Oryctolagus cuniculus: one gene and its partners. The protein of the gene in region 1 purifies or fractionates together with the protein of each later gene. This does not show direct contact. Links are inferred from orthologs where the notes say so. Each region holds a gene or a part of one and is shown in the gene's direction. Other genes may lie near its edges. The genes, in order: LCK, UNC119 and SH2D2A.

Region 1 (9,069 bases):
AAGCCCCCCGCGCAAGGTGGCAGGCTCTGGAACAGCATCCCCCCTGATTCAAAGCTCTGCCTTGATCCCAGAGTGAAGTGGGTCCCTGACCCCGTTTCTGTCTCCCACCTCTGAGAGTTGGGAGGGTGGTGGTGGTTCTGTCCCAAATGGCTCTTTTTCAGTTTTGGGTGAGCTCCTACTTCAGTAGCTCTGCTGTGGAATAGCATAAGAGTCCGAAAAAGACAGGGAGCAGCTCCTAGGCTCAGCTTTGCTCCCACTGACTTGCTGTGTGACACAGGCCACGTCCCTGTACCGCATCTAGCGCACAGTTATCCTAAGGAATAAAGCAGAAGTTTAAACGGGCTGGCCCAGAAGTCACACCGGGTGTTCCTTAAAGGCTCGGGAGCCTGGGTTAGAGCCCTGGATGGCTTTGCACTAATCACGTCAGTCCTCTCTGTCGCGGTTTCCACATCTGTAAAACGGTGGGACCAGGACAGGGGTCACTTCCTCACAGTCTTTGGGAGGCTACGAAGGTGAATTACGGAGAGCCCTTAGCACAGTGCCTGCTCCGTGTTAGCAGCTCAGGCAGGGACCCGGCTCTGCTTCTTTGGGAACACAAGGTCTGCCCCTCTTTCATGAAGGGAAGCAAACTCTTCATTGGCTCATGGGTCGTGGAAGTCACCTAGATCTTAGGTACGCCAGCTTTGGAGCGAAGGCTTGCGAAGGAGTCTCGGGCTCACTGGAGGTGAGCGTGGGGGTTGATGAGCACTGTCTGCCACCGACCGAGGAGGAATGGCAGCGTGTGTCCCTGCATGTGCTGGGGCTGGGTGAGGCCTGCATCTCTGATGACTGCTTCAGCACGCCACTCGCACTGGGGCACGTGCTCGTTGTCATTCGCACACAGAGTTTTAATCACTTGGAAAGGGCCAGTGGTCACTGACTGTGTTCCAGCAACTCCTATCCTGGTCTTCTCCCAGTCACCCCCCCCCCCACCAAAGAGTGTCCTTCCTGCCACACCCCACCCAACGTATGCAGCCCACTCAGACAGGGAGAAAGGTCTTGCATCCGCTGGTTCACTCCCCACATGGCCGCAATGGCCAGAGCTGGGCCGATCTGAAGCCAGGAGCCAGGAGCGTCTTCCAGGTCTCCCATATGAGTGCAGGAGCCCAAGCACGTGAGTTATCTCCCACTGCTTTGCCAGACCATAAGCAGAGAGCTGGATGAGAAGAGGAGTAGCCAGGACACGAACTGGCGCCCATATGGGATGCTGGTGCCGCAGGCAGACACTTCATCTGCTACACCTCAGCACCAGCCCTGGAAAGCCCGATTTTAGTAATTGGCACTGAGAAAACCAGAGCTCAAGTCATGGAAAAGTTCCAGTGTGCATGGGAAGGCAGATGATGCTGCAATTTGTGGTGCCTGCTGGCGTCCAGAGAGACTTTCAGGAAGGGTGGCCCAACTGGGTTAGAAGAAGAAAGGGGGCCGGCACCGCGGCTCACTAGGCTAATCCTCCACCTAGCGGCGCCGGCACACCGGGTTCTAGTCCCGGTCGGGGCGCCGGATTCTGTCCCGGTTGCCCCTCTTCCAGGCCAGCTCTCTGCTGTGGCCAGGGAGTGCAGTGGAGGATGGCCCAGGTGCTTGGGCCCTGCACCCCATGGGAGACCAGGAAAAGCACCTGGCTCCTGGCTCCTGCCATCGGATTAGCGCGGTGCGCTGGCCGCAGCGCGCCGGCCGCGGAAGCCATTGGAGGGTGAACCAACGGCAAAGGAAGACCTTTCTCTTTGTCTCTCTCTCTCACTGTCCACTCTGCCTGTAAAAAAAAAAAAAAAAAAAAAAAAAAAAAAAAAAAAAAAAAAGAAGAAGAAGAAAGGAAAGTAGAAATTTCAGGGCCCAGTGCTGTGGCTTTGCTGGTAAAGCCACTGCCTGCAGTGCCAGCATCTCATATGGGCACAGTTCGAGTCCCAGCTTCTCTTCTGATCCAGCTCTCTGCTATGGCCTGGGAAAACAGCAGAAGATGGCCAAGTGACTGGGCCCTTGTACCCGTGTGGGAGACCTGGAAGAAGCTCCTGGCTCCTGGCTTCATTGCTGCCATTTGGGCAGTGACCCAGTGGATGGAAGACCTCTCTCTCTGCCTCTGCCTCTCTGTAACTTAACTCTGTACATAAAAAAAAGAAAGAAAGAAATTTTAGCAGGCAGATATGAAAGAAAGAGGTGAGCCCAGTGGTCTGTGTGAAGGATCTCAAAGTTGTCGTTGATGGGTGGAGTGAAAGAGGCCGGTAGCGGAAGGAGAAGCTGCAAATGTGGACCACGCAGGACTTTGAATGACTCTATACCCTCATGGTGATGAGAAACCTACAGTCCCCTCCAACAGGGCCCCCACCTTGTCCCCTGAAAAAGCCCCTCATGTTCCTGGGCCTCTCACCTTGAACAAGCTTCTCCATTTGCACTCCTTACTCATCCATCTAGACCCCCAGCTGGGGGACAAGGGTCTGAGGGCCTCCCCCTAGGGCAACTTGGCTCAGCAACTCTTGCTTCTGCCTACAGGGAGCTTAGTGGATTTTCTCAAGACCCCTACAGGCATCAAATTGACCATCAACAAACTCTTGGACATGGCAGCCCAAGTAAGGAGGCTAAAGAGGGCCTGGGCGTTGGGCACAGGCCAGTGGGGTGAAGCTGTCAGGCCCAGGAGTACTGACCTGTACCTGGCCTGCAGATTGCAGAGGGCATGGCATTCATTGAAGAGCGGAATTATATCCACCGGGACCTGCGGGCTGCCAACATCCTGGTTTCTGACACCCTGAGCTGCAAGATTGCAGACTTTGGCCTAGCGCGCCTCATTGAGGACAATGAATACACAGCCAGGGAAGGTAGGTGTGGGGCGTGAGGGAGGTCTGGGGCCTGTACCTTCTGGCTAAGCACACACATTTTGTTTCTCCCTAGGAGCCAAGTTTCCTATTAAGTGGACAGCACCAGAAGCCATTAACTATGGGACATTCACCATCAAGTCAGATGTGTGGTCCTTTGGGATCCTGCTGACGGAGATCGTCACTCATGGCCGCATCCCTTACCCAGGTCAGCACCAAAGACAGGACTGAAAGGGGCGATGGGGAAGGCCAGCAAATCCATGTCTTCCCACTCGCTTCCTCCCAGGCTCAGAACCTGAAACTCTCTGGTTGCTTCTCCTCTGTCTTCTCAGGGTTGTCTCCAACCTCCCTAACAGATGCCACATCTCCCGGGGCCAGCCTGCATCTCTGTCTCTGAATCTCTCCCTTCTAGAACCCCAGCTCTTCTCTCTAGTTCTGGCACAGGCAGCCTGGTATGGTGGAAGTGGATCTGGTTTGGAAGGCAAGAGGCTTGTCTTTTATTACCAGATCTGCAACTGATGCTAACTTTCTTTTTGGTTTTGATCAGACCATTCCTTCTCTTTTTTAAAATAAATTTTTAATTATTTATTTTGTTTATTTGAAAGGCAGACAGACATAGTTAGATAGAAATCTCTTATCTGCTGGTTCACTCCCCAAATGCCCTCATACCTGAGACTGAACCAGACTGAAGGCAGGAGATGGCATTCAATCCAGGTCTTCTGTGTGAATGGCAGGAACCCAACTACTTGAGCCGTCACCTGCTGTCTCTCAGAATGTGTATGTGCAGGAAGCTAGAATTGGCAGTGGAGCCAGGGATTCAAACCCAGGCACTCCAGTATGGGGGATGCAGCTACCCCAAGTGGCCACACTTGACTGTTGTGTCAAATGCCTGTCCTAGATCACCCCTCCTGTTCCCATCTGTTAAGTGTGAGATCACTGTAGTGACTGGCCCATGCTGAGCTATTATTAATCATCACTTTGGGCCGTCACTTCACCTCTGTGAGCCTCAGTTTCCTGAAAAACAAGCGATTATTTGTAAAAAGCCTGGCTCATAGGAGGTGCTCACTGAACACTGACTTCCGTTTGCCTTCTAAAGAGGAAGAGAGATGTGTAAACAGCCAATCGCCCTCCCCTGAAATGCTTCCCCCCTCCCCACCTCCCTGCATTCAGCCTGGACAGAGATGGAAGGTTTTGAAAGGAATTGGCTTGGGAACTCTGAGGAAGGGAAATTGAACACACAAACAGGAGTAGGGAGGTCATGGAGCCCAGTGGCTGGATTTGCAGAGGCTTCGCACATCTCAGAGCAATGTGAACAGAACTTTGCTCCTAGGAAGGCTCTGTGGGGTCAGGTGAGAGGTTGAAGGACCGTGGCTTTGTCCCATCAGAGTCCGGAGGCAGTGCTGGAGCTAGAACCACACACCAGAGGTCCTGCCAAGGCCCCCTGCTGCTCCTCCATTGTTCCTGCAGAGTGAAAGCCCCGTGATCAAAGGCAACTGACACGTGGCACTAGGGTTTGGGAGAATGGGGAGACATGGGGACCTTAGTGAACTTGCATCTGCCCCAGCAGATGGCTGTCACTTATGGTAGGGGCATCTGAAAACCAGATCTTTTGTGTTTCCAAGAGAGACCAAAACTTGGAGTTTTAGGAAAAGCTACTCATTTCCAAATATTGGTAATTGACTCAAGTTGTTTAAAAACACCATATGGGCATTAGGCCTACCAGTTAAGCCTTTAGTTAGGACACCTATGCCCCACATGAGAGTGCCTGGGTTCAAGTCCCGCTCCAGTTCCTGACTCCAGCTTACTAACTGTGGACAATGGGAGCAGCAGTGATGTCTCAAGTGGATGGGTCCCTGCCATCCACTGGGAGACCTGGATTGAGTTCCTGGCTTCCAGCTTTGGCCTGGCCTAGCCCTGGCCATTGTGGGCATTTGAGGAAATGAACCAGCATATGGGGAGGCTGTTTGTGTCTCTCTGTCTCCCTGATCTTGCAAATGAAACAAACAAATGGAAAATCAACTACCTGGTCCAAAGCAAGCTGGGCCATCTTCAAGCTGGGTTTAGCTGATGGTTGGCATCATTGACTCTCGTGTTTGGTTTCCTGGCTTACGTCTTCTACTTCCTGGATTTTAAAATGTGAGGAATCCAGAGATAGGAGCCATCCAAGGGCAAGGGCTGGGGAAGAGGAGTCTGTATTGACAAAGGTCTAGCCCCAAGCTTAGCAGGAGCCAAACTTCAGTGTATGTATTTTGCTGGGACCCTATAAGGGTTTGGCCTTTGAGATCTGTTTGTCACAGTCTTCTCTCAGGAGAGTGAAGAAAATGCAAGAGGATACATGGATAATTTTAAGATAGGGAACCGGGGTGGGCGATGTGGCCTGTGTCCCATATTGGAGTGCCAGTTTGAGTCCCAGTGACTTCACTTCTGACACAGCTGATGGCTCAAGAGCTTGGACTGCTACCATCAATGTGGGAGACCCAAATAGAGTTCTGGGCTCCTGGCTTTGGCCTGGCACAGCTCTGGCTGTTGCAGGCATTTTTTAAAATTTTATTTATTTATTTTTAAAGCTTCTCTCTGTCCCAGGGACAGCACTTTCTTTCTTTTCCTTTTCTTTTCTTTCTTTCCTAATTTTTTAAGGATTTTCTTTATTATTTGAGAGGTAGAGTTACAGACAGAGAGAGGGAGAGACAGACCGAAAAGTCTTCAATCCACTGGTTCACTTCCCAAATGGCCACAATGGCTGGAGCTGGGCTGATCCAAAGCCAAGAGCAAGGAGCTTCTTCCAGGTCTTCCACATGGGTGCAGGGGTTCAAGCACTTGGACCATCTTCCACTGCTTCCCCAGGCCAGAGCAAGGCGCTGGATTGGAAGAGGAGCAGCTGGGACATGAAATGGTGCCCATTTGGGTTGCCAGCGCTTCAGGCAGAGGCTTAGGCTACCCTGCCACGGTGCCGGCCCCCTGTTGCAGGCGTTTGTGGAGTGAACAAGCAGATGGAAGATATCTCTTTGCCTCTGAACCTCTGCCTTTCAAGTAGATGAACATAAACAAACATTTAAAAAGAATGAAATGAAAACAAGGAATTACATCCTTGCAATCCTCCAGAGAAGTTCTCCTGAGACAAGAAGCCTGCCTGGGGGAACAAGACCAGCACAAAAGGAGGGAACCAACCCAAAGACTATTTGGTCTGGGTCATGGAGGGGCCTGGTGATCCTTCTCAGTCCCAGGCAGAGCCTGCTTCTCTGGGCCTGGGCCCTTCTGTCTTCCTGACTCACATTTCATGTGCCTGGTCCCAGAGTGGGAGAAACCTCACCACTCTCCTGGCTGTGGGCTCCCATCCTGCCCTGGGTCCTGACCTACCTGTCATCATCATAATCACAATTTCCCTTGGTGAAGCAGCGCCTAACTGGGCCTTCATACACACTACCTCGTTCAGCCATCATAATGACTCTGGGAGGGAGGAGCAGCAGCTTACTCTGTGTTCCAGATAAGGAAATTCAGGCCCAAAGACATGAGGTTGGCAGGAGATGTGGGGGGAGCACGTTGTGGCACAGTGGGTTAAGCTACTGCTTGGGATACCCACATCCCAAATCAGAGTCCCACTTTGAGTCCCAGCTCCTCTATATCCAATCCAGCTTCCTGCTAACGCACCTGGGAGGCATCAGATAATGGCCCAAGTACCCTGGGGAGAAGGATGGAGTTCCTAGCTCCTGGTTTTGGCCTGGCCCAGCCCTGAGTGTTGTGGGCATTTAGGAAGTGAACCAGCAGATGGAAGATCCCGCTCTCTGTTTCTCCCCCTCCCCTCCGCCTTTCAATTAAATAAACAAATCCCATTTTTTTATTTAAAAAAGAGGTAAGGTTGCTGTCCATGGACCCACAGCTAAAATGTGCGTGCTAATTGAGTGTTTGAGCTGTATTAGGTAGTCAGGTGGTGTGAATGACATCAGCAGGTGCTGCCAGCATGGCTTTACCATTGAAGAAGACCAAAATCCTTTTGAACTGGTGCTCGGACTCTGCCAGTTACAGGTTCTAAACATCACCCTTGGCTGTGGGCTTCGAAATTCTAAAGCCTTGATGTCCTTTCTCCCATCAACCTCCAGGGATGACTAATCCTGAAGTGATCCAGAACCTGGAGCGGGGCTACCGCATGGTGCGCCCTGAGAACTGCCCAGAGGAGCTGTACCACCTCATGAAGCTGTGCTGGAAAGAGCGCCCAGAGGACCGGCCCACCTTTGACTACCTGCGCAGCGTGCTGGAGGACTTCTTCACGGCCACAGAGGGCCAGTACCAGCCCCAGCCTTGAGAAGGCCCTTCCCCTTCATGCCAGCCTGGCTTGGGGAGATGGAGTTCTTGTGCCAAAACCACATGGCCTATGCATATATGGACTCTGCACATGAGTCCTGCCCACGTGCAACACATATGTATCTTGTGCTTGTACATACATCCCGAGTTGCATGGGTTTTGCACATGTGTCTTGTACATGTGTAGCCTATGCATGGATGCCTTCGACACTGTCCAAGGTGTGTCTTTCTAAGCACTCCTACTTCCTGATACCACAGAGACAGGAGAGAGTCTTGTGATTGACACCAGCTTCTGCCTGCCCACTTGTCTTTGCCCAAGCCCTCCAGAAGCTCCTTCAGGGTTAGGACCTTATCTAATACCTCTGTGTGCTCCTTGTCGGTGCCTGGCACCTGTTAGGGGCTCAATAAATGTCTGTTGATGAAGGTGATGCAACTCTCTGCTGTGCACTCCGTATCTCTTTCTTGGGGGGGGGGGTGGTAAATGGGAGGTCACATGATAGAAACTGGGTCACCCCAGGGTTGGGGTGTTGTGCAGTGTATTAAGCTGCTGCTTGGGACACCCACATCTGGGCTCCTCCATTTCCCTTCTAGCTTCCTGCTAATGCACCTGGAAGTCCTTAGATCCCTGCTACCCATGTAGAAGACCTGAATGGAGTTTCTGGCTCCTGACTGCAGCCTAGCCCAGCCTAGGCTATTGTAGGAGTTTGTGGAGTGAGCCAGTGGATGAAAGATCTCTTCTCTTTTTGTATCTCCCCCTCTCTCTCTGTCACTCTTTCAAATAGATAGATACATCTTTTTTTAAGATTTATTTATTTATTTATCTATTTGAAAGTCAGAGTTACACAGAAAAAGAAGGAGAGGCAGAGAGAGCTTCCATCCGCTGGTTCATGCCCCAGTTGGCTGTGATGGCCAGAACTGCGCCGATCTGAAGCCAGGAGCCAGGAGCGTCTTCTGGGTCTCCCATGCCGGTGCAGGGGCTCAAGGACTTGGGCCATCATCCACTGCTTTCCCAGGCCATAGCAGAGAGCTGGATCGAAAGAGGAGCAGCCGGGACTAGAACCGGCGCCCATATGGGATGCCAGCACTGCAGGCGGCAGCTTTACCCGCTACCCCACAGTGCAGGCCTGATAAATAAATCTTAAAGCAAACAAGACACCAAACTGGACACGCTGAGTCACGGTGACAGATGGAATGAGCAGATGTCCGAAAGTCTGCTGGCCCTGGTGATTGACGCTGGGGCCAAGAGGAGGTCCCTTTAGCTCTACCACCAGGACTCTGCATGCCCCTTCAAATACTACAGTGCTCCTCACTGCCTCCTGGGAGTGGGTGTGTCACATGACCCCACGATGTGAGGTCAATGGCATTTTTTTAATAGCTACTGATTCAAGGATTGTTTCTGACCTGGGATATATTTTGATTCACCTTCAAGATGTTATAAAATATTGAATTAATTCACTCATTTAACAAATTTTTTTTTTTTTTACTTTTTTGAGAGGCAAAGTGGACAGTGAGAGAGAGAGACAAAGAGAAAGGTCTTCCTTTGCCGTTGGTTCACCCTCCAATGGCTGCTGTGGCCCGCACATTGCGCTGATCTGAAACCAGGAGCCAGGTGCTTCTCCTGGTCTCCCATGTGGGTGCAGGGCCCAAGGACTTGGGCCATCCTCCACTGCACTCCTGGGCCATAGCAGAGAGCTAGCCTGGGAGAGGGGCAACCGGGACGGAATCCAGTACCGGGACTAGAACCCGGTGTGCTGGCGCCGCAAGGTGGAGGATTAGCCTACTGAGCCATGGCGCAGGCCTCATTTAACAAATGTTTATTGAACATTTATCATGTGCCAGGCATTGTTTGAGGCCCACAGGCTATCTAGTGGATAAAGCACACACAAATTTCTGCCCTTCTTCTTACATTCTAGTAAGGGGAGACAAAG
Region 2 (9,865 bases), on another chromosome or scaffold:
AGACACTGACAGTACCGGAGACAGAAGGGCAGTTAGGCAAAGGGAACTATGAGCTTAGATCTAGAAGAGAAGAGAACGTAGCCATGCAGGGAGCCCAGGAAGGTTTACCCTGACTGAAATGTGTGTGAGTGCGGCTGGCAGGGCAGCTGGGTGCCAGATCATAAAGGACTGGGCTAAGGAGTTTGAACTCTAATATGACATGAGCGACTAGCCACCGAAGGGTATTAAGCAGGGAACTGACATGACATCAGATAGATCCTAGTGCATAAAAGCTATAGTAATGTAGGTCCAGTGGGACAGTGGCCAAGACAGCTATCTTAAGACAGTCAAAGAAGTCCCTTTAGATGGGGGGACATTCCAGGGGATGTCTTGAGGCTAAGGACTATGCTCCACCTGTGTGGCATGTCTCAGGAGAACATTTGGAGGTCTGTGCCACAGAAATCCTGGACTGGAGGATATCCTGGTGGTCATCGGCGGGGAAAACTCGGTCCCAGAATGAGTGACCAGCAAGGTAGAGGCTGTTCTGGAGCTGAGATCTTGGTGTTCTAACTCTCCTTCTCTCTCTGCCACAGGATCCAGCGCTGCCTCCCTGTACCCTGTGCTCAACTTTCTGCTCTACGTGCCTGAGCTTGCCCACTCGCCCCTGTACATTCAGGACAAGGATGGGGCTCCAGTGGCCACCAACGCCTTCCACAGTCCCCGCTGGGGTGGCATTATGGTAAAAGTCACACTCTGAAGACCCCAGAGCCCAGGCTTCAGGGACAGACAGACAGACATGCCCTGAAACTGCTTCTTCTGTTTTTCTTCTGGGGTCCTCATGCCTTCGGCCTCCTCTGCCAGCCCTGCTGCTGCTTATTTCTGCCCTGTAACCATCTTGCACTTACCAAGGCCATCCTGTGACCAGCTTAGATATTGGCTCTATCTTTGGGGGTCTTGTAAGATTGGGAACCTTGTCCCCTTGTGAGACTGGGAGTTTCTCATGGGTGAGAACTGTAAAATGAGATTTAAAATTTTCTTTTACAGGACTTTCCTGGGGTCATTGAGATAATTTATTTTTCCTTTTATATTATGTATTCCCCAAAAATGTCAGCTGTTTCATTGGGTTTCTAGTTTGTTTGTTTTTAAAGATTTATTTATTTATTTGAAAGTCAGAGTTATACAGAGAGAGAAAGAGAGGCAGAGAGAGAAAGGCCTTCATTCCACTGGTTTACTCCCCAAGTGGCCACAATGGCCACAGCTGCGCTGATTCGAAATCAGGAGCCAGGAGCTTCCTCTGGGTCTTCATGCAGGTGCAGGAGCCCAAGGATTTGGGCCATCTTCTACTGCCTTCCCAGGCCATAGCAGAGAGCTGGATCAGAAGTAGAGCAGCCAAGACCCGAACCAGCGCCCAAATGGGATGCTGGCACTGCAGGTGGTGGCTTTACCCACTACGCCACAGTGCCGGTCCTGGGTTTCTGGTTCTAATGAGCAGGGAATATGTCTTCCTTTTCCTTCATGGCCTCTGAATTGCCTAGGGGAGAGCTGTGCACCTGTAGGGGTGTGGCAACCTCAGGCTCCTTCTCCTTCTGCTTTCAGGTATACAATGTTGACCCCAAAGCCTACAATGGCTCCAGGCTACCAGTGAGAGTCGAGGTGGACATGGTACGAGTGATGGAGGTGTTCCTGGCGCAGTTGCGGTGAGGTCCTGGCTATCTACTTGGGGTGTCCTCTGTCTCCCTGATGACCTGAAGTTGGCCAGCTGCCCCCTGAGATCGTCTGCTGGGCTGCCGAGAAGGGGGCTGCCGAGAGCAGAGAAATCTCACTTGGCAGGAATGTCTTGGCTGTGTCTAGAGCCCCAGGGAAACTGAGAAAGGTTTCCAAGGAGCTCTGTGTCCTCCTCTTGAGGAGGATTAGCAGGTGACAAAACCTGTTTTAAGAAAAATAAGTTCATGTACTTCAGATCCCTGGGGTATGATTAGGGGTGCTTAAGAAGATAGCTGGCAATTCTTACGCGAACTGATCCACTGAGAGTGGCAGTCTGAAGTCCTGTGTTCTGAAGTTGTGTCTGGGCTCACCAGGAGAGTGTTCCGAGTGATTAGTAATGTCTGTCGTGGGTACAGCTTACAGAAGCACAGCACATGTGCCATGTCAAAGGTGGGCTTGCATCATCTCTTAACACCAAGTCCCACTGGCCCCATTTGTCCAAAGAGAGTAGAAAGAGTGAGGGAATTCAACGGAGTTGGTGTTAGAAATACTTTTATTATAGAACCTTTGTCCTTTGTTTTTCTTTCTTTTTCTTCTTTTTTTTTTTTTCCAGATTTATTTTGTCTATTTGAAAGGCCACAGTGGCTAGGGCTGGGTCAGGCTGAAGCCATGAGCCCAAGCTCCATCTGGGTCTCCCACATGGGTATTGGGTCCAAGTACTTGGGCCATCTTCCATTGCCTTCTTAGGGGCATTAGCAGAGAGCTGGATCAGAAATGGAGCAGCTAGGACTTGAACTGGCATCCATATGGGATGCCAGCATCACAGGTGTTGGCTTTATCCACTGCACCATGGAACTTTTTTTTTCCCACAAGATTTTGGAAATCTAATAAAGAAACAGTGGAAATGCAACATTCTGGTTGAAGCAGGGACTGGGGGCTCTGGATTGCTTGGCGTTGCTGCTCACCTTCCGAGACCCTGAGACACTTGCCACAACCCCTGTGGCTCTGGATACGACTGAAAATCATTGGCTTAGAGCAGGTATTACAGGAATCCTAGTCACAGCCTCCCACCTTCTGGTCTCAGCCACTTTGATCTTCTCTCCCTGTTTCTCCAGACTGCTTTTTGGGATTGCTCAGCCCCAGGTGCCTCCAAAATGCCTGCTTTCAGGGCCCAAGAGTGAAGGGCTGATGACATGGGAGCTAGACCGGCTGCTCTGGGCTCGATCGGTGGAGAACCTGGCCACAGCCACTACCACCCTCACGTCTCTGGCCCAGCTCCTGGGCAAGATCAGCAACATTGTCATCAAGGACGACGTGGCATCTGAGGTAAGCAGGCCTAGGATTGGAGTGGCCAGTGAGGCCCAGGGTGTGGCAAGACCAGAGAGCCAGCTGAGGCCTGGGATGAGTGTGGGCGTGCCACCCATGGTGCCCCTGGCTACCTGCAGACAGCCGTGCCAGCTCCCCAGCAGGAGTCACGATCGGAGAGAGGGTTCAAGCTGGACCTCAGAAAATAAGCCGCAGCCTTGTTAGCCTGACCTGCATAGATCCTTGGTGAACTCCAGGCCCCCTCCCTGATATACAGAAGGCCCAGTAAGGCCCAGTCCCCTTCCCCGCAATGGCCCAGGCCTTACTGCTAACCATCGTCCCCTCCCCTTCCTAGGTGTACAGGGCTGTAGCTGCAGTCCAGAAGGCAGCAGAAGAGTTAGCCTCTGGGCACCTGGCGTCTGCCTTCGTCGCCAGCCAGGAGGCTGTGACGTCCTCTGAGCGGGCCTTTTTTGACCCCTCGCTCCTCCACCTCCTCTATTTCCCCGATGACCAGAAGTTTGCCATCTACATCCCGCTCTTCCTCCCCATGGCCGTGCCCATCCTGCACTCCCTGGCCAAGATCTTCCTGGAGACCCGGAAAAACTGGAACAAATCTGAGAAGACAGACTGAGCAGGGCGGCATTTCAGCAGAAAGCCTCGCTTCTGGCCAAGGCGGGGAGGGTTCAACAGAGGCACGTGGATGGGGCTTCGGGGAGGGACTGACTGACTCTCCAGCAACCCAAGTACACCACTCCAAGATGGGCTCATCTTCCCTCCGCTCCCCAGTCCCTTGGCTCAGGTCCCTTCCCTACCTCCTTATCTGACTTGAAGGCCTCTGCCTGTCTCCCTGGAGGCGGGGGCAGCTCGCCTCTGCATAAAGCAGGGGAAAACCCTGGATTAGATTCTAGCCTGTTCCCCTGCGTTTCTCTCTGACCGCAGCAGAGGAGAGCGGTAGCGTTGCTGTCACGGACAGGGTATGGCACAGGTCACCTCCAGGATCTTCTGCCTGATTCCTCTCCCTTCTGGCTGACTTGTTGGGTACAGCCTGACCGGAGCCCAGGATCTGGTGCTGTGTGTAGCAGTTTCCCTTCATGCTTGCCGAGAGGCAGTGTGGTAAGTTCTAGACTCGGAATCAAACAGGCCTGAATTCATATCCTCGCTTCTGCAGTATTGTTTGGGGAGCTTTGGATAAGCCACTTAATCTCTCTGAGCCTGTTTTCCGTTTGTTCAAATGACACTGATGATACCTCCCTTCCAGGGCGGCTGTGAGGATTAAATGTGATAAGCACGTGAAAGTGTTTGCGCTCCGTTTGGCTCTTAGTACATAGTGAGTTTACTAGAAGTGGGAGCATGACTGTCGCTCTTTCTTCCTCCATGTCTAAAGGTTTTCTGATAAAGTACTCCTGCGCTCACAGGCCCACCTTGCCTCCACACGGCCATGTGCTCTTCCTGTCTCCAGGAAGTCCTGGAACAGCTCCTGCCTTTTAGTACCGTGTCTTGGAAAGAATAGCTTGTGCCAGTGTAAGCCCTCGGATACTCTTTCATCAGTTTGAAGAAAAAAAAAAAAAATGTTTTGAGCTGCCAAGAGCACTGTGCTAGGCGCTGGGGTATACAACAAAGCAGACAGGATCTCTGCTTTCACGGAGCAGGCCTGTCAGGGGCAAGAGTCTGAACACATAAAAATAATTTCATAGTGCTTTAGAAAGAAAAAACACCAGACTGATCAGATAGTGACTGGGGGAGGGAGGCCTTAGAGGCGATGACATTTGAGCAGAGTGACACCAGAAGGCTGGGATGAGAGCAGCAGTGGAAAAGGATCCCAGGCGAAGGCCCTGGGACTGGAACTCGCCAGAAGGGCAGAAAGACTGGGACACAGCAGGTAAGAGCACTTAGGACCTCCAATACTTCTGAAAAAGTACTCAAAAATGAACAAAATCCAGGGCAGCCCCCGTCCGCCCTAGGTCGTCCAGCCCTGGTGGGCGTGGCCCCACCGGGCCCGCCCTGGGGGCGGGGCGGTACCTGGGGCCCCGGCCGGGGGCGGGGCTGCGGACGCTCCCCCTTCCCCTGGCTCCAGCCAGCGCAGGCAGCGGCGGCGGCGGCAGCAGGCGAGCTGCGGCCCCGCGAGGCCATGAAGGTGAAGAAGGGCGGCGGCGGGGCCGGGACGGGGGCGGAGCCCGCTCCGGGGTCCTCGGGCCCGAGCCTGGAGCCCACGCTGGATCCGCGGGCTGAATCCGAATCCGGGTCCGAGTCGGAGCCAGAGGCAGGCCCGGGGCCCAGGCCGGGGCCGCTGCAGAGGAAGCAGCCCATCGGGCCGGAGGACGTGCTGGGGCTGCAGCGGATCACGGGCGGTGAGCGCCGGCGAGGGAGCGCCGCCCGCGGGCGGGAGGGAGAGCGAGCCGGGAGGGGGCCTGCAAGGCGCGCTGAGCCCCGGCCCCCGCCCCCTTTCTCGCCTCCCCTCCCCCACCAGGCCCCTCGCCTGTGTCCCCTACTCTACTCCTCTCCCTTCTGCCTGCAAGCCTGAGATCTCTGGGTTCCCCTTCCCTTGATCTCTCGGTACGCTCCCCCTCTTTTCTCTGGAGGTTTATTTCTAACCCATTTCTTCCCCTTTGAGAGTCTGTCGCTTTTTTTGGTGGAGGTGGGGCAGCATCTGCAACAGGGAGTCTTGGGGCTGGGAGGCCCGTCCGCACCAATGAGGGGGGTCACGTGCAGGGTGTCCGCCCACGCTGGGGGCCAGGGGGAGGCTGTTCCTGAGCCCACAAGACCCTCGGGTCTCCCTGAGCATTGGTGCCCCCATCCCATCTTCATCCCCAGGAGGGAACGAGCAGGAAGCGTCATTGCGCTGGCTGTGGGCCCTGTCATGGGAGCGGGTTAATGCCCCCCAAGCCTGTCCTCTCTGATCCCTTCCACCGTGGGTAGGAGTTTCTGAGTGTAATTGACTGGGTGACCTTGGACAAGTAGCTACACTTCCCTGAGCATGTTTCTTCATCTGTAAATTGGGGATACTGACACCGACTTCATCAGGTTGCTCTGAAAATAAAGAGCCGTCTGAATCTGAGCTCTGCTTGCACTATAAATAGGGCTCCTTTATCCATGCGTTGAGGGCCCCTCAGGGCTGCCCCTGGCTTCTGGGAGGCAGACAACTGGGCATGCAGGGCAGGGGAGAGGGCCACTCTAGGCAGAGGACAAGGGCCAGGACGCCTCCTGGCAGAGGCCACGGCTCAGCCTTGCAGAGACCATGGCCCTCCACATGGGATCGTTCAGCAGCAGCCCGGCCTGGCCCCCTTTGTGAGCAGCTCTGGGGCCTCTGTGTGGGGATGGGAGGCAGGCACTGGAGTGGACGTGAGCCCTGAGCTGCAGGAGCTGCAGGGCTGTGGAGGGACCCTGGTGGCAGGCCTGAGCATGCCTCTGGCTCCCTGGGGACCCCGCTCCCTCTGAGCTAAGCAGCGGGCATTCTTGTCTGGGCCCCCAGCGCGTGGAGCTCTCGTTCCTGTGGGTATTGAAGGTGGGAGAGGGCTGGAGCAGGCTGATGCTGGTGATGATTGGGCTGCGGTTTGCAGCAACAGCACCCAGTTCCAGCTTAGCTCTGGGACAGACTCCCTTATAGAAAATCGGAGGTCAGGCCGACCTGAGGCCCGGGCAACTTCTGGGGTTTGTTTTGTAACCATAGGAGGCTTCCAGCGCAGGTACTCCCATGTGTCTCCTAATTTGGAGGAAATGTCACAGCCCCGAGAGAAGGGGCATCCGTGGGCAGTGCAGCGGGCAGGTGTTCACTGGAGCCCTCCCTGTGCTGATCAGGAGCTACGTGCCGGTCTCTCCACCCTGCAGCCCTGGGATGGTCTCTTCTGACCCTAATCACACAGGTCTGAGGTTTGCTGTTCCAGGATTACCAGGCCCTGAATCCAGCTTAGGGAGCTATTTGTGGCTGAGGGGAAGGGAACAGTTGTGTTCCGAGCCCTAGGCCATCGTGACCCTGGGCCCCGGGCTGCATCCTCCCCTGGCAGAGGGAGGGAGCAGCCCCTGTTCCACGCTTCCTCTGCAACAGAGGGGTTGGCAGGTCGAGTCTGCAGTAGAAGAGACTGGGGCCAGGCTGCCAGAGGTTGCTCTCGAGCAAGTGGAGAGGCCCGGAGAGGTGGAAGATGAGGGAAGAGAGGGCTTCCTGGGGAGCTGGGAATTGGCTCCCAGGATCCCACTCCCAGCTCTGCCACCTCCCTTCCCTGTGGCCTGCACCGTCTCTCCATGAGGGCTCCCCATGGAGTTCATGGAAATAAGTATGATGGAGTCGCTGTGCATGGATGTCAGACTTCCAGTGCACCCAAGTAAACATTTGATTCCATTTTCCCATGGCCTTTTGAAGTACCCTTGTATACCTTGGGACTAGTGCTTACTTTCTATGAAAATCAGCATGGAGGTAAGAGTTACCCACGCCCATTCCCCCTCCTTTCCCCACCATGGGGCAGTGCTGGGCCCCATGGTCCCAAATGGCTGCCAGGGGGCTTCCTGGAGGGGGTTACCCCAGGCAAGGAGAAGAGGCAGACCTGGGGAAGAGAGAATGACTGTGTTCCCTTCCTCTTCCTGCCCTAGAGGAATAGGAGGTGACCCAGGGGCCTGGAGGGTAGTTTGCAGGCCTCTCGGGGCCACCAGGGGAGGGTGTGGTGCTGTACGGGATGGCAGCATGGGAGCCCCCCTGCACCGCTCTGCTCCTTCCTGTTCATCGGCCCCCTGAGCACCTGCAGTTGGTCAGCAAGAGCAGTGAGGGTTAGATCAGGCCCTGTATGTTCCTGAGCTTCCTCAAGCAGGGCCTGTCTCTGTTCCTGGTTCCCCTTAACCTCACCCACACCCTCTTCCTGGCCTAGACTCTCCTGTCCTCTGTGGGGTCTGGGGGTGCTTTCCCTGTGGCAAGGGGCTCAGATGGGTGGATGGGTGACGTCTCAGGGTCTTCCCTCTGTTTGCTAAGACTTCCTCCTGTTTGGAGAGCAACAGGGGATGGGAGCAAAGTTGGCTCCCTTTCCCCCAGTATCCTAGGCTCTGGGCTTGAGTCAGCAGAGCTTTGGCTAAGCTGCTTAAGAGAGCTGGGCTTGGATAAGCCGCTTATCGGAAGAGAAGGGGGGCTGGGAGAGAAGAAGAACAGAGAAAGGGTTTTGTACCTGCCTTGGCACCCCCCATTGTCAGTGAAAGTCAAATCACAACCATCCTTGCCTGACATATCTGGATGTGGTGGTGCCAGAGGTGGCCATGGACAGGGCTGTGTCGCCCCTTTTAGAGTGGAGTTCCCGAAGGTGGGGCTGTGTCTTCCCTCTTGGACCAGGGGCTCCCACTGGACTGGGCCCATTTGGCACAAAGGCATCCAGCCAGCCTGGCAGAGCTGAGGCTGAGATCTGGACCCTCAACTCCAGGGTGGAGGGGAGAGTGGGGGAAGGGCCCTGACTGTCCCTGATCCGCTGAGGCCAGTAGGATGGGGCTCTTCTTCCAGCTTAGGTCTCCGAGGCAGAGTTCTGTCTCTTCCAGGAGAAAGAGGTAGCTAATCCAGGCACCCACAAACTGGCAGCAGGGCTTTGGGGACCCATTGGTTGCTCAGCTGCCTGTCTCCCCTAGACTACCTGTGCTCCCCCGAGGAGAATATCTACAAGATCGACTTCGTCAGGTTCAAGATTCGGGACATGGACTCAGGCACTGTCCTCTTTGAAATCAAGAAGCCCCCAGCCTCAGGTGAGCAGGCCAGGTGGGCTGCTAAGAGGGGGAGGCAGGCAGGCACTGCAGAGAGCTCTGCCCAGCGACTTCTTGGGCTTCAAAGGAGTCGGAGTAGAGTTGAGGCTCGGATGCCAGGATCGTCCAGGATTTGCAGGCAGCCGGGCCTGTTTTCCTTGCCATACGTTTCTGGACTTGGACGTCTTGCCCCTTCAATCCCTGCCAGCCTGCCCTCTGCAGGCCTTTTTGGGAACTGCAGGCGGCTGCACCCTGCAGTCCACAGAACCTCATTTGAAATCTGACCTAGAACCCGCAAGTGGTATCATCATTTGACCAATGGTTCTAACCCTCCACATGTACTAGAATCTTCTGGGGAGTTGTCAAAAATTCAGACCAATGGAGCCATGGGGAGGAACCTTGGGTGGGCAAGGGCCTCAGCCTGACACCCACTGAGCCCCAGCTGGGGTACCTTGCAGAGCGGTTGCCCATCAACCGGCGGGATCTGGACCCCAATGCTGGGCGCTTTGTCCGCTACCAGTTCACCCCTGCCTTTCTCCGCCTGAGGCAGGTGGGAGCCACGTGAGTCTCTGGGCTGGGGTGCAGCAGCGGGTGAGGGGAAGGGTGGGAGGGAGCCCTTCCTGCCAGCCAGTTGGCTGGCTTGCCGGCCACACTGAGCCCTGCCCCTCCTCCTGCTTCAGGGTGGAGTTCACGGTGGGAGAGAAGCCCGTCAACAACTTCCGCATGATCGAGAGGCACTACTTCCGCAACCAGCTGCTCAAAAGCTTTGACTTCCACTTCGGCTTCTGCATCCCCAGCAGCAAGAACACCTGCGAGCACATCTACGACTTCCCCCCGCTCTCTGAAGAGCTGAGTGCGTGGGCAGGGAGTGTGGGGGGGTGCGAACAGAGACCAGGCTGGGGTGCAAGGGGTCCTGGTGGGTCTGACCCCCTCCCTCCCTCCTCTCCAGCCCCGCCCCCAAGTCTTCTGGATCAGGCACCGTTCCCACGTCACCTGTAGAGAAATGGGCAAAGTGGCTGGGAACTCAGGTGCCCCTGTCCTGCAGGGGCCCTGCTCCAGCTCCTGACCTTTGCCCTTGCCTGGCTGGGCCTCTCTTGCAGTCAGCGAGATGATCCGTCACCCGTACGAGACACAGTCTGACAGCTTCTACTTCGTGGATGACCGGCTGGTGATG
Region 3 (9,554 bases), about 98 Mb from region 1:
TTTTTTTTTTTTTAAATCACTTTAAATAGCACTCTGACCTCAGAATCAGCCCTTAAGGCATTCTGGTCTGGCTGAAAAGCTCACAAGAGCATTTCAGTCACTAAAAGCCAAGACACTGTGGCAAAAAAAATGCCCTACATGGCTGGCGCCATCGCTCACTAGGCTAATCCTCTGCCTGTGGCACTGGCACTCCAGGTTTTAGTCCCAGTTGGGGCACCGGTTCTGTCCCAGTTGCTCCTCTTCCAGTCCAGCTCTCTGCTATAGCCTGGGAAGGCAATGGAGGATGGCCCATGTGCTTGGGCCCTGCACCTGCATGGGAGACCAAGAGGAAGCACCTGGCACCTGGCTTCAGATCGGCACAGCGTGCCAGCCATAGTGGCCATTTGGGAGGTGAACCAATGGAAGGAAGACCTTTCTCTCCGTCTCTCTCTCTCACTGTCTAACTCTGCCTATCAAAAAAAAAAAAAATGCCCTACATGAAGAACCTCGGTGGGTGAGACCACAGTGGAAAGAAGTGGTCATCAAAGAAGGAGGTACTTTTCTCTGAAGGGAGGAGAGAACTTCCACTTTACTTATGGCCTTGTCTAAATACTGACAGAGTTTGTGGATTCAAAAGGCTTCCATAGCCTAGGCAGTTCATGTCAAGAGCCTCAGATGATCACTGATGTCATACATAAGAGTGTTAATTGTTAAATTAACAACAAGAGTCACCATACACTAACTTCCCATCAAGACCTCTAATCTCAAAGAGTTGCATTATAATTAAGTCTGAATAATCACAAAAGTTTATCACTCTTGGGTGCTTCTTTAAATTTAACTAAGTTTCTAGGGGGAAAAAAAGTGAAATTAACTTCAAAATACAATGACTTTGAACAACTCTTGTCTCAACTGTTGAGGAACAGTTTTTTGTTTGTTTTGTTTTGTTTTTTGTTTTTTTCCCCATGCAAATTATTGAACACTTTACTTAGTATAGAGTTGGTATTCTGTGCATAAAGTTAATCAAAATGGATCTTAGTGGAGAATGGGAGAGGGAGGAGGGGAGGTGGGAGAGTGGGTGGGAGGGCGGGTATGGTGGGAAGAATCACTATATTCCTAAAGTTGTACTTGTGAAATGCATGAAGTCTGTATTCCTTAAATAAAAGATTTCTTTGGGGGGAAATAAATTTTAAAAAAAGATTTACTTGTTTAGAAAGCAGAGTGACACAGAGAAAATGGGAGAGACAGAAAGTGAGAGATTCCATCCTCTGGCTCACTCCCCACATGGCTGCACTGTCCAGGGCTGGGCCAGGCCAATGCCAAGAGCTAGGAACTCCATCCAGGTCGGGGTGGCCTGGACCCATGTATTTGGGCCATAGTCCACTGCCTTCCCAGGTGCATTAGCAAGGAGCTGGATCAAAGCAGGAGCAGCTGGGCTTGAGCCAGTGCTTGGATATGGGATGCTGTTGTCGCCAGCAACAGTTTAACCCGGTTTGTCACAACACCAGCCCCTAAGATTCTGGTTTTCTTGAAGCCTGAAACTGATCTTCCCAAGGAAAGCCACACAGGGCTCTTTTGCTCCAGCAATAGTTAAAGGCGTTGAAAGCCCTGCTCCTTTTCTGCTCTCCTCAGCTGTCATCAACATGAAAGCAGGGGCCGGCGCTGTGATGCAGTGGGTTAAAGCCCTGGCCTGAAGCTCCAGCATGCCATATGGGCACCGGTTCTAGTCCCAGCTGCTCCTCTTCCGATCCAGCTCTCTGCTATGGCCTGGGAAAGCAGTAGAAGATGCCCCCAAGCCCTTGGGCTCCTGCACCCGCGTTGGGGGCCCGGAAGAAGCTCCTGGCTCCTGGCTTCAGATCGGCACAACTCTGGCCATTGCAGCCAATTGGGGAGTGAACCATCAGATAGAAGATCTCTCTCTCTCTCTCTCTCTCTCTCTCTCTGCCTCCCTCTCTCTGTGTAACTCTGACTTTCAAATAAATGAATCAAAAGAGAGAGAGAGAGAGAGAGAGAGAAAGAAAGAAAGAAAGAAAGAAAGAAAGAAAGAAAGAAAGAAAGAAAGAAAGAAAGTCCCACATGGAAGCCTCAGGTTCAGATTAATGTTCTCATTGTATGACTAAAGCTGAGTCTTTGTAAAATTATTTACTATTTTCAGGGGCTACTTCTGTGGCATAGTGGATAAAGCTTCTGCTTACAGCGCCAGCATCCCATAGGGGCATCTGTTCGAGTCCTAGCTGCTTCACTCTGATCCAGCTCCCTGCTAATGTGCCTGAGAAAGCAGTGGAAGATGGCCCAGTTGTTTGAGTCCCTGCACTCATGTGGGAGACCCAAAAGAAGCTCCTGACTCCTGGCTTCGGATCAGCCCAGCTCCAGCCATTGAAGTCATCTGGGGAGTAAACCAGCAGATGGAGGATCTCTCTCTCTCTCTCTCTCTCTCTCTCTCTCTTTCTGCCTTTGCCTCTGCCTCTCTATAACTCTGTATTTCAAATAAATAATCTTTAAGAAATTTTTAAAAATAAAATTATTTACTATTTTCTATTTATTTGAGAGGCAGAGAGAGAGAAAGGCAGCACATTCAACATCCACTGGTTCACTTCTCAAATGCCTGTGACAGCTGGCTTTGGGCTGGGGTCAAAGCTGGGAACTCAAAGCAGGAACAAGACCTAGGTCTCCTGTGTGAGTGGCAGGAACCCAGTCGGTTGAGTCATCATTGCAGAAAGCTAAGTCAGGAGCCAGAGCCAGGAATCGAATCCAGATACTCTGATGCAGGATGTGGGAGTCGTAACCACCAGCCTAAACACCTGCTCTCTGAATCTGTGTGTCTCAGTCTTGATCTCAGTGGTCCTACCTGTAAACTGGTGACAGGAGATCCTCAAATAAGACCAAGCCAGGCCCTGGCAGTTATTTACCAAATCATAACTGATTAGACAAGGCAATGGTGGGCTATGGGTCAAGTCTGCACACGTAGGGTAGGAAGGTAAAAGGAAAAACTCATCAGTTTGTCCCCTTACTGCAACGGGTAGAAACAGGGGTAGGCATTGTGGTGCAGTGGGTTAAGCCATCTACTGGGATGCCTGCACCCACATCAGAGTGCCTGGTTAAGACCTGGCTTCTCCACACTTCTGATGCAGCTTCCTGCTACTGTGCCTGGGAGGCAGTGGATTGTGGCCCAAGGACATGGGTCCCTGCCACCCACATGGGAGATTTGGATGGAGTTCCTGGCTCCTGGCTTTGGCCTGGCCCATCCCTGATTGCTGCAGGCCTTTGGGAGGAGCGAAGCAAGCAGATGAAGGATCTCTGTCTCTCTCTGTCACTCTGCCTCTCAAATAATAAAGATTTTTTTAAATGATAGGAGTAACAAATTTTTTAAAGATATTTTTTCACTCCATTGTGTGTGTTATCTCCTTGGATTCCCACAATCACCACCTTCATTCCAAAATCCCTGGCTTGGAGTTAGCTATATAGGACAAGACGTTGCTCTCTGTACTTCCTAGCATTAAGGAAAAGGCATAGGGGCCGGCGCTGTGGGTAGCTGGTAAAACCTGCGCCGGTGACACTAGCATCCCATATGGGCGCCAGCTCAAGTCCCAGCTGCTCCCCTTCCGATCCAGTTCTCTGCTGCGGCCTGGGGAATGCAGTAGAAGATGACCCAAGTTCTTGGGCCTCTGCACCTGTGTAGGAGACCCAGAAGAAGCTCCCCATTCCCACCGCTCAGAGCAGAACGAGAGCCAGACTGGGAGGTTTCCCAGGAAGAAGTCAGAAGCTGAGACAACGAAAGAAAGAAAAGGAAGTCCGAGCCTGGGCTTGGGGCGCAGAGACAGCATCTGGAGGGGTGGAGAGCAGACATCAGCCAGGACTTCCCAACACGTCAACACCAAGTGACAGGAACAGCAGCCCCACCAGGCCACTGCACCACCGTCAGCTGCCCCACTTCCGGGGGCGGGACACCTGCCTCAGTGCTTTCCGTGACGCGAGTCTTCTGCCGGGCGGGCGCGGGCTGTGGGTGAGGCGACATTTCCTGTCCCGGGGGCTAGGGCGAGGGGAGCAAGGAGTTGCTGAGCATGCACACCTCGGGCGAGCCCAGACACCCACCCTGTGCTGGGGGCCCCTCATAGGCTGCCCCATGGAGGTGCCCTTGGCCCAGATATGCCCCCAAGGTAAGTGCAATGTTCAAGATCGGGGCTCGGTGTGCAGGGACAGACGTCAGTGCGGGGACAGACGTCAGCACAGCCACCACCCTTGCTCTCTCTCCTCAGCCTGAGCGCCCACCTCAGGGGTGAGAGAGCTCGCCCCCCTCCCCCATTCCCTTTTGGGGGAGCTCCGGGCCCATCCTCCCTGGGCGCAAAGGCAGGCAAGGCGAGGGAGCAAGAAGACGAAGTGCACGGTAGGTGAGGATCCCAGGCCCAAACAGGGCCTGCTCTGAAGGGAGCTACCTCTCCACCTGGGGGGCTCCCAGCCTTGTTCCCAGCCCTCCCTCCTGGCACCCCGCTTCCCTGGCCGCCCCCTCTGATAGCCGCCGTCCCTCTGTGCCCCCTGGGCTCCCTACTCCTCAGGGTTGACAAATCCCCTCTGCGTCTCCCTGTCCCCAGGCCTCTGCTCGGGGAATGTGGGGTTCCTCTGAGCCTGGCAGAGAGGGGTGGGAGGCAGAGAGAGAGGCAGCACCCCCCCTGAGCACCCCTTTATGCTAACAGGAAATCACGGAGCCCCCAGCCCAACCTTCAGCACGTCCCAGACCATGGACTCGACCCGCGGGAGCTGCCAGGGCCTTGGCTTGCTCCCCAGGCCCAGACTGCAGGCCCTGAGGGGCGAGGAAGCCCAGCCCAGCCCCAGGGCCCTGGCTGTCCACACCACGGTGAGTGGGACCCTGGGGTGGGCGTGCAGCTCCCTCGTCTCCTCCCACCCCTCCACGGTGAGGACTAGCAGGTGGACAAGGTCAGCAGGAGAGGAAGCTGGGATGAAGTGCAGGTGCCAACAGGCTAGGGGCCTGGAGGGAGACAAAGATGGCGGGCAGTGCCTCCTTCCCACGCCGGGCTGGCCCCGCGCCACTTCTCTGCTCCTGGGAAGCTCAGCCGAGCCCACAGGCGGCCAGGTGCAGAGCCCTGCGTGGCAGGAGCAGGTGTCTTGGTGTGCCCAGCCTCTCCCAGGTGCCGTCCCAGCCCTTTCCATCCACACAGTCCTTGGGAACTCTCGCTCAGCGAGGCCTCTGGGGTGACTCCCTTCAGCCCCATGGCTTTCCGTCCCGTGGGAAGACCTTGCTGCCCCTCAGCCTTTTGGAGCAGTGCACCAGCCCACGGTTCCAAGTGCCCCCGGGACCCAGAGACAAGGCAAGGGCGAGAGTCTGGGAAGCAGGCCGCTGGAGTGAAGTTTGAGTCGGTAATCTCAGGAGGCTCCTCTGGGCAATCAGGGCCTGAACTAGCCAGGAGGGACAGGCAGGAGGGCAAGGGCGGCTGCCGGCACGGAGGCAGTGGACGGCCCCTCCATCGTGGCCACTTCCCCTCCTTCTCCTCTTCCCCTGTCCAGGTATGGCCCCAGGCCTCGGGGGCTGCCCCCATCCCAGCGCCAGCAGAGAGAGCTGAGGAGGTGCCTGGAGAAGGAGGCCTGACCCTGCAGGCCGAGGCCCGGGCTTGGTTCCAGAGGACCCAGGCCCACCAGCTCCTGCAGGACGGGGCCGCCCCTGCCTGGTTCCACGGCTTCATCACCCGGAAGTGAGTCACAGGGGTGGAGAGAGGCCTGAAGAGGGGCAGACCCAGAGCAGAGTCTCGGGTCCTCAGGCAGGGGGAGACGGAGGCCACCAGCCCAGGCACTGGCTCCCAGGGTCTCCTGGGCTTACACGGAAACCTCTCTCCTGGAGAGCACTGGAGCAGCTCCAGCCCAACACCGTGCCCATGCCTCAGTTTCCCCTCTCTAGGCTCCAGTGTACCCTCTCTCTCCAAGCCACCCTTGGAGGACGAGGCTCCTGGAGGCTGCAGGGCTCAGGGGTCTCCGGAGTAGGATCCCAGCCCGTCCACGCGGACCCAAGCGCCCTCTTCTCCCTACCTGCACCCTAGCCCTTGCTCAAGTTAGGGATCCCTGGTGAGAGTAGGGAGACAGAAGTCGCGGCAGATGAGTCAGAGCAAGGCTCCGCCCCCTCTCTCTGACACCCACAGGGAGGCCGAGAGGCTGCTGGAGCCCAAGCCTCCGGGATGCTACCTGGTGCGCTTCAGCGAGAGCGCCGTGACCTTCGTGCTGACGTACAGGTGCTGAGGGCGCGGAGGCAGGGCTCCGGGATAACTGATGCGGGGGCGGGGGGTGGGGGGTGGGGGGGCTTGGTGTGGACCCTATCACAGAGTAGGTAGGGGCTTAAGGGTCACACCTCCAGCCGCTGGCCCTGGCAGCAGGGAGGGAGAGCATCTAACCCCGAATGGTGCCGCCCAGGAGCCGGACCTGCTGCCGCCACTTCCTGCTGGCCCAGCTCGCGGACGGGCGCCACGTGGTGCTGGGCGAGGACAGCGCCCACACGCGGCTGCAGGACCTGCTGCAGCACTACTCGGCCTGCCCGCTCAGCCCCTACGGAGAGACCCTCACGGAGCCCCTCGCCCGCCAGGTACGCCGCCGACCCCTGGCCCCGCCCCCCCCCCACCTGACCCAAGACCCAAGGACCCAGGCCCATGATCCTCCCCACCCAGAGCCCAGGCCCAGGGCTGTGGCCCCAGTCATACCTCCCCTGCCTACTCACCACCATGGGAAGTCATTGGAGAAAGAACGGGGCAGAAGAGACCCTGAGAGACCAGCCCAGCCACATGGACAGGAGGGGTGGGGAGGGCACACCAAGCGCCGGCAGGCCCTGGGAATGACCCAAGGACAAGGCAGACAGGTTTCAAACGCACAAAGCTTTCTCTTAGGAAGCAAAGACTGATAGGAACCAAGCACGCAGTGTGCAGCCGGGAGAAACCACACAGCCCGCAGGGAACGCCTCCCTGGTTACAAGTTCAGCAGCTCTGAGCGGCGCTGTGTACCGGCACTGTTCTGCACACCGGGAGGACAGCAGTGAGCGAAGCTGAACGAAATATCCCTGCCTTCACGGAGCTTCCCTCGGAGGAGATAGACAGCAAATGGTGCAGATAACAAGCAGTGCGCAGTAGTGAATGGGAAAGGGAGCGACTGTTTCACACAGGGACATCGAGGGAGGTCACTCTCACGGGGACATCAGAGGCCTGAATGGAGTAATGGAAGGAGCCCTGCAGAGAACTGGGGGAAACGTGCTCTAGACAGCAGGAAGAGCAGGTGCAAAGGCCCTGGGGGTGCTTGATGTGTTTGGAGGATCACTAACTGGGGTGCATCGGGGCGGCTGAGGGCGAGGCAGGTAGGAGACGAGAACAGGGAGGTGAGGGAAGGGGGCCTGTATGGATCTGGAAGGTTACACCGAGTGGGGGGTGGGGGATGACTCTGCAGAGTGGCAAGCTGAGGAGTCGTGTGACCTGGCAGCTCAGGAGAGGTGAGGAGGAGGCTGCTAGACGTGGGGTTCCTGCCGTATGTCAGGCGAGGTGCTGGCAGCCGGGGCCAGGGCAGCCGACGTGGAGGAGTGAGGAGCGTGGCCCTGCACAGCAGGCAGAGCTGCGGGGCTGTTTGCAGCATTGGAAGAGAAGTGTGAAAAGGTGGAGTTGTCATTGTCTGAATGAGGACAGCTGTAGGAGCAGTCGGTCCAGCAGGGGTGGGCGATGGGGGAAGTTCAGTTTGGGACATGCACAGCTCGGGATGTCTGTTCAACATGCAAACAAGGGTGTCCACGTGTCTGAGGCCTGGGCCGGGGATAAACGCTGGGCAGTCGTCAGCGCGGAGAGGGGCTCTGAAGCGTCTGGGGCTGGGGCTGGGGCGGGGTCTGCCGCAGTCAGTGTCGATGGAGGAGGAGGGAAGATGTGCACCTGCAGCCTGCACACACGAGGGGAACCTGCAGAGAAAGCCGAGCAGCCAGAGCCGAGAGGAAAACCAGGACGGCTCGGAGCTCCGGCAGCCAAGCCAGCCCAGCAAGGGTGAGCGGCCGTGGCAGCTCAGGACTTGACCTTGGATTTCAGAGAGGAAGCCACTGGTGACTCCAATGAGAGCAGCTCCACGGAGCTTGATTGGGGTCAACTCAAAAGAAGTGGGGAGAGTGCCAATGGTGAGGAAGAGGCAGAGACCCGAAGACGCCCAAGCGGCAGGAACTGAGTGCAGGGAGGCGGTGGTGAGGGAGAGGCCATGCGGCCCTCGGGGAACTGTGCCAGTCACTCAGGCTCTCAGGAGTCCATTTATCCCGGAGCAGCGGCAGCCACGGGAGGACTGTGAGGGCGTCTGTGTAAGATCACCCCTGCCCCAAGCCTGGAGAACGGCTTGACAGGCAGGAGCATCGGGGAGGAGGCCTGGCCAAGCATGGTGGCTGCGGGGCTGGAGGAAGGCAGCCCATGTGAGAGGCATTCAGGCAGGGGAAGAGAGCTCGGCCCGCCCTGGATTTGAGGCGGAGGTGCCAGGGCTGCCTCCCAAGGCATTGTTTGCATAGCAGGGAGGAGGGGCTCCTTTGGGATGGGTGGGCAAAGGTGGGGAGCATGGAGAGAGAAATCTGACTTGGACCCCTTAAGCCTGCAGTGCACCCCCAGATGGAGACCTGTGGCTCGCAGGAGCCTGAGAAAAAGCCTTGTGGCCTTAGCCTACCAAAGGCAGCAGGCATTCGAGCCTGGGGCTAACACTGAGCTAGAAGCACACCTGCAGGACGGTAGCTTCCTGCTATGAGGCCGGCCAGCTGCGTCCCTGATGCAGCGGTGTATCTCCACATGTGACCTGCTCCCCCCTGCAGAAATTAACGCAGGCTCAGCAGTCGTACAGGTCGGTCCCCGGGCTGATCGCTTCGTAGAAAGTCTCCTAAGGCTTTGTCACGTTTTTTAAAGCTTTACTCAGTTATTTGAAAGGCAGAGTTAGAGAGAGCAGGAGAAAGGGAGGGAGGGAAAAGAGAGAGAGAGAGAGAGAGAGAGAGAGAGAGAGAGAAAAGGGGGGGCAGGTGGAAGCCGGGAGCCAGGAGCCTTATCCAGGTCTCCCATGTGGCTGCAGGGTCTCGAGTACTTGAGCCATCTCCTGCTGCTTTCCCAGGTGCATTAGCAGGGAGCTGGATTGGAAGTGGAGCAGTTGAGACATGAACCGGCGCCCACATGGGATGCTGGCACTACAGGAGGCATTTTAACCCACTACGCCACCACGCTGCTCTCTTTGTTGCATTTTTACAAGCACAGGCACAAATGCAGACTGGCCTGGCCCTGTGTTCCACATGAAATCAAGTTCAATGCCAGTTCCAGCCTGTGCCCAGAGCCTGTACCTCCCTGGCCTCTTCCGTCTTCTCCCCTACGGGACCCAGCCCAGGCCAAATTTCTGTGTCCATCTCACCCTCCGCCGTCCCTCACTTGGACCTCGAGGGTCACCTGCCCACCCTCCATCCTGCCAGGCGTGGCACCACGTCTCTCAGGCCTCCTTCTTCCCCAGCAGACTCCGGAGCCTGCGGGACTTTCCCTGAGGACTGAAGAGGCAGACTCTGGAGGCAAAAGCCAGGATCCAAACCCCCAGTACAGCACAGTCAT

The links.
Region 2: the proteins of LCK (region 1) and UNC119 purify together in Homo sapiens (affinity purification with western blotting; 3 studies listed by BioGRID and IntAct, with this or other methods). This does not show direct contact. The link is inferred for Oryctolagus cuniculus from reciprocal best matches to the Homo sapiens genes LCK and UNC119.
Region 3: the proteins of LCK (region 1) and SH2D2A purify together in Homo sapiens (co-immunoprecipitation; 3 studies listed by IntAct, with this or other methods). This does not show direct contact. The link is inferred for Oryctolagus cuniculus from reciprocal best matches to the Homo sapiens genes LCK and SH2D2A.

The regions. Positions count from the first base shown.
Region 1 is NC_091438.1:140,188,989-140,198,057, reverse strand, and holds the end of LCK (tyrosine-protein kinase Lck), read left to right. Parts: intron 1-2,523; coding exon 2,524-2,600; intron 2,601-2,692; coding exon 2,693-2,846; intron 2,847-2,919; coding exon 2,920-3,051; intron 3,052-6,940; coding exon 6,941-7,143; 3' UTR 7,144-7,574; downstream 7,575-9,069. UniProt on the Homo sapiens protein: Non-receptor tyrosine-protein kinase that plays an essential role in the selection and maturation of developing T-cells in the thymus and in the function of mature T-cells. Plays a key role in T-cell antigen receptor (TCR)-linked signal transduction pathways.
Region 2 is NC_091448.1:44,060,594-44,070,458, reverse strand, and holds the start of UNC119 (protein unc-119 homolog A), read left to right. Parts: upstream 1-5,038; 5' UTR 5,039-5,116; coding exon 5,117-5,336; intron 5,337-7,372; exon of another isoform or gene 7,373-7,396; intron 7,397-8,580; coding exon 8,581-8,694; intron 8,695-9,149; coding exon 9,150-9,252; intron 9,253-9,371; coding exon 9,372-9,544; intron 9,545-9,791; coding exon 9,792-9,865. Other genes in the region: PIGS (GPI transamidase component PIG-S), read left to right, coding at 573-718, 1,576-1,676, 2,799-3,009, 3,344-3,619. UniProt on the Homo sapiens protein: Involved in synaptic functions in photoreceptor cells, the signal transduction in immune cells as a Src family kinase activator, endosome recycling, the uptake of bacteria and endocytosis, protein trafficking in sensory neurons and as lipid-binding chaperone with specificity for a diverse subset of myristoylated proteins.
Region 3 is NC_091438.1:41,983,774-41,993,327, forward strand, and holds the start of SH2D2A (SH2 domain-containing protein 2A), read left to right. Parts: upstream 1-3,990; 5' UTR 3,991-4,099; coding exon of another isoform or gene 4,100-4,122; coding exon 4,123-4,133; intron 4,134-4,232; coding exon 4,233-4,360; exon of another isoform or gene 4,361-4,364; intron 4,365-4,667; coding exon 4,668-4,828; intron 4,829-5,496; coding exon 5,497-5,681; intron 5,682-6,122; coding exon 6,123-6,212; intron 6,213-6,390; coding exon 6,391-6,559; intron 6,560-9,459; coding exon 9,460-9,554. UniProt on the Homo sapiens protein: Could be a T-cell-specific adapter protein involved in the control of T-cell activation. May play a role in the CD4-p56-LCK-dependent signal transduction pathway. Could also play an important role in normal and pathological angiogenesis.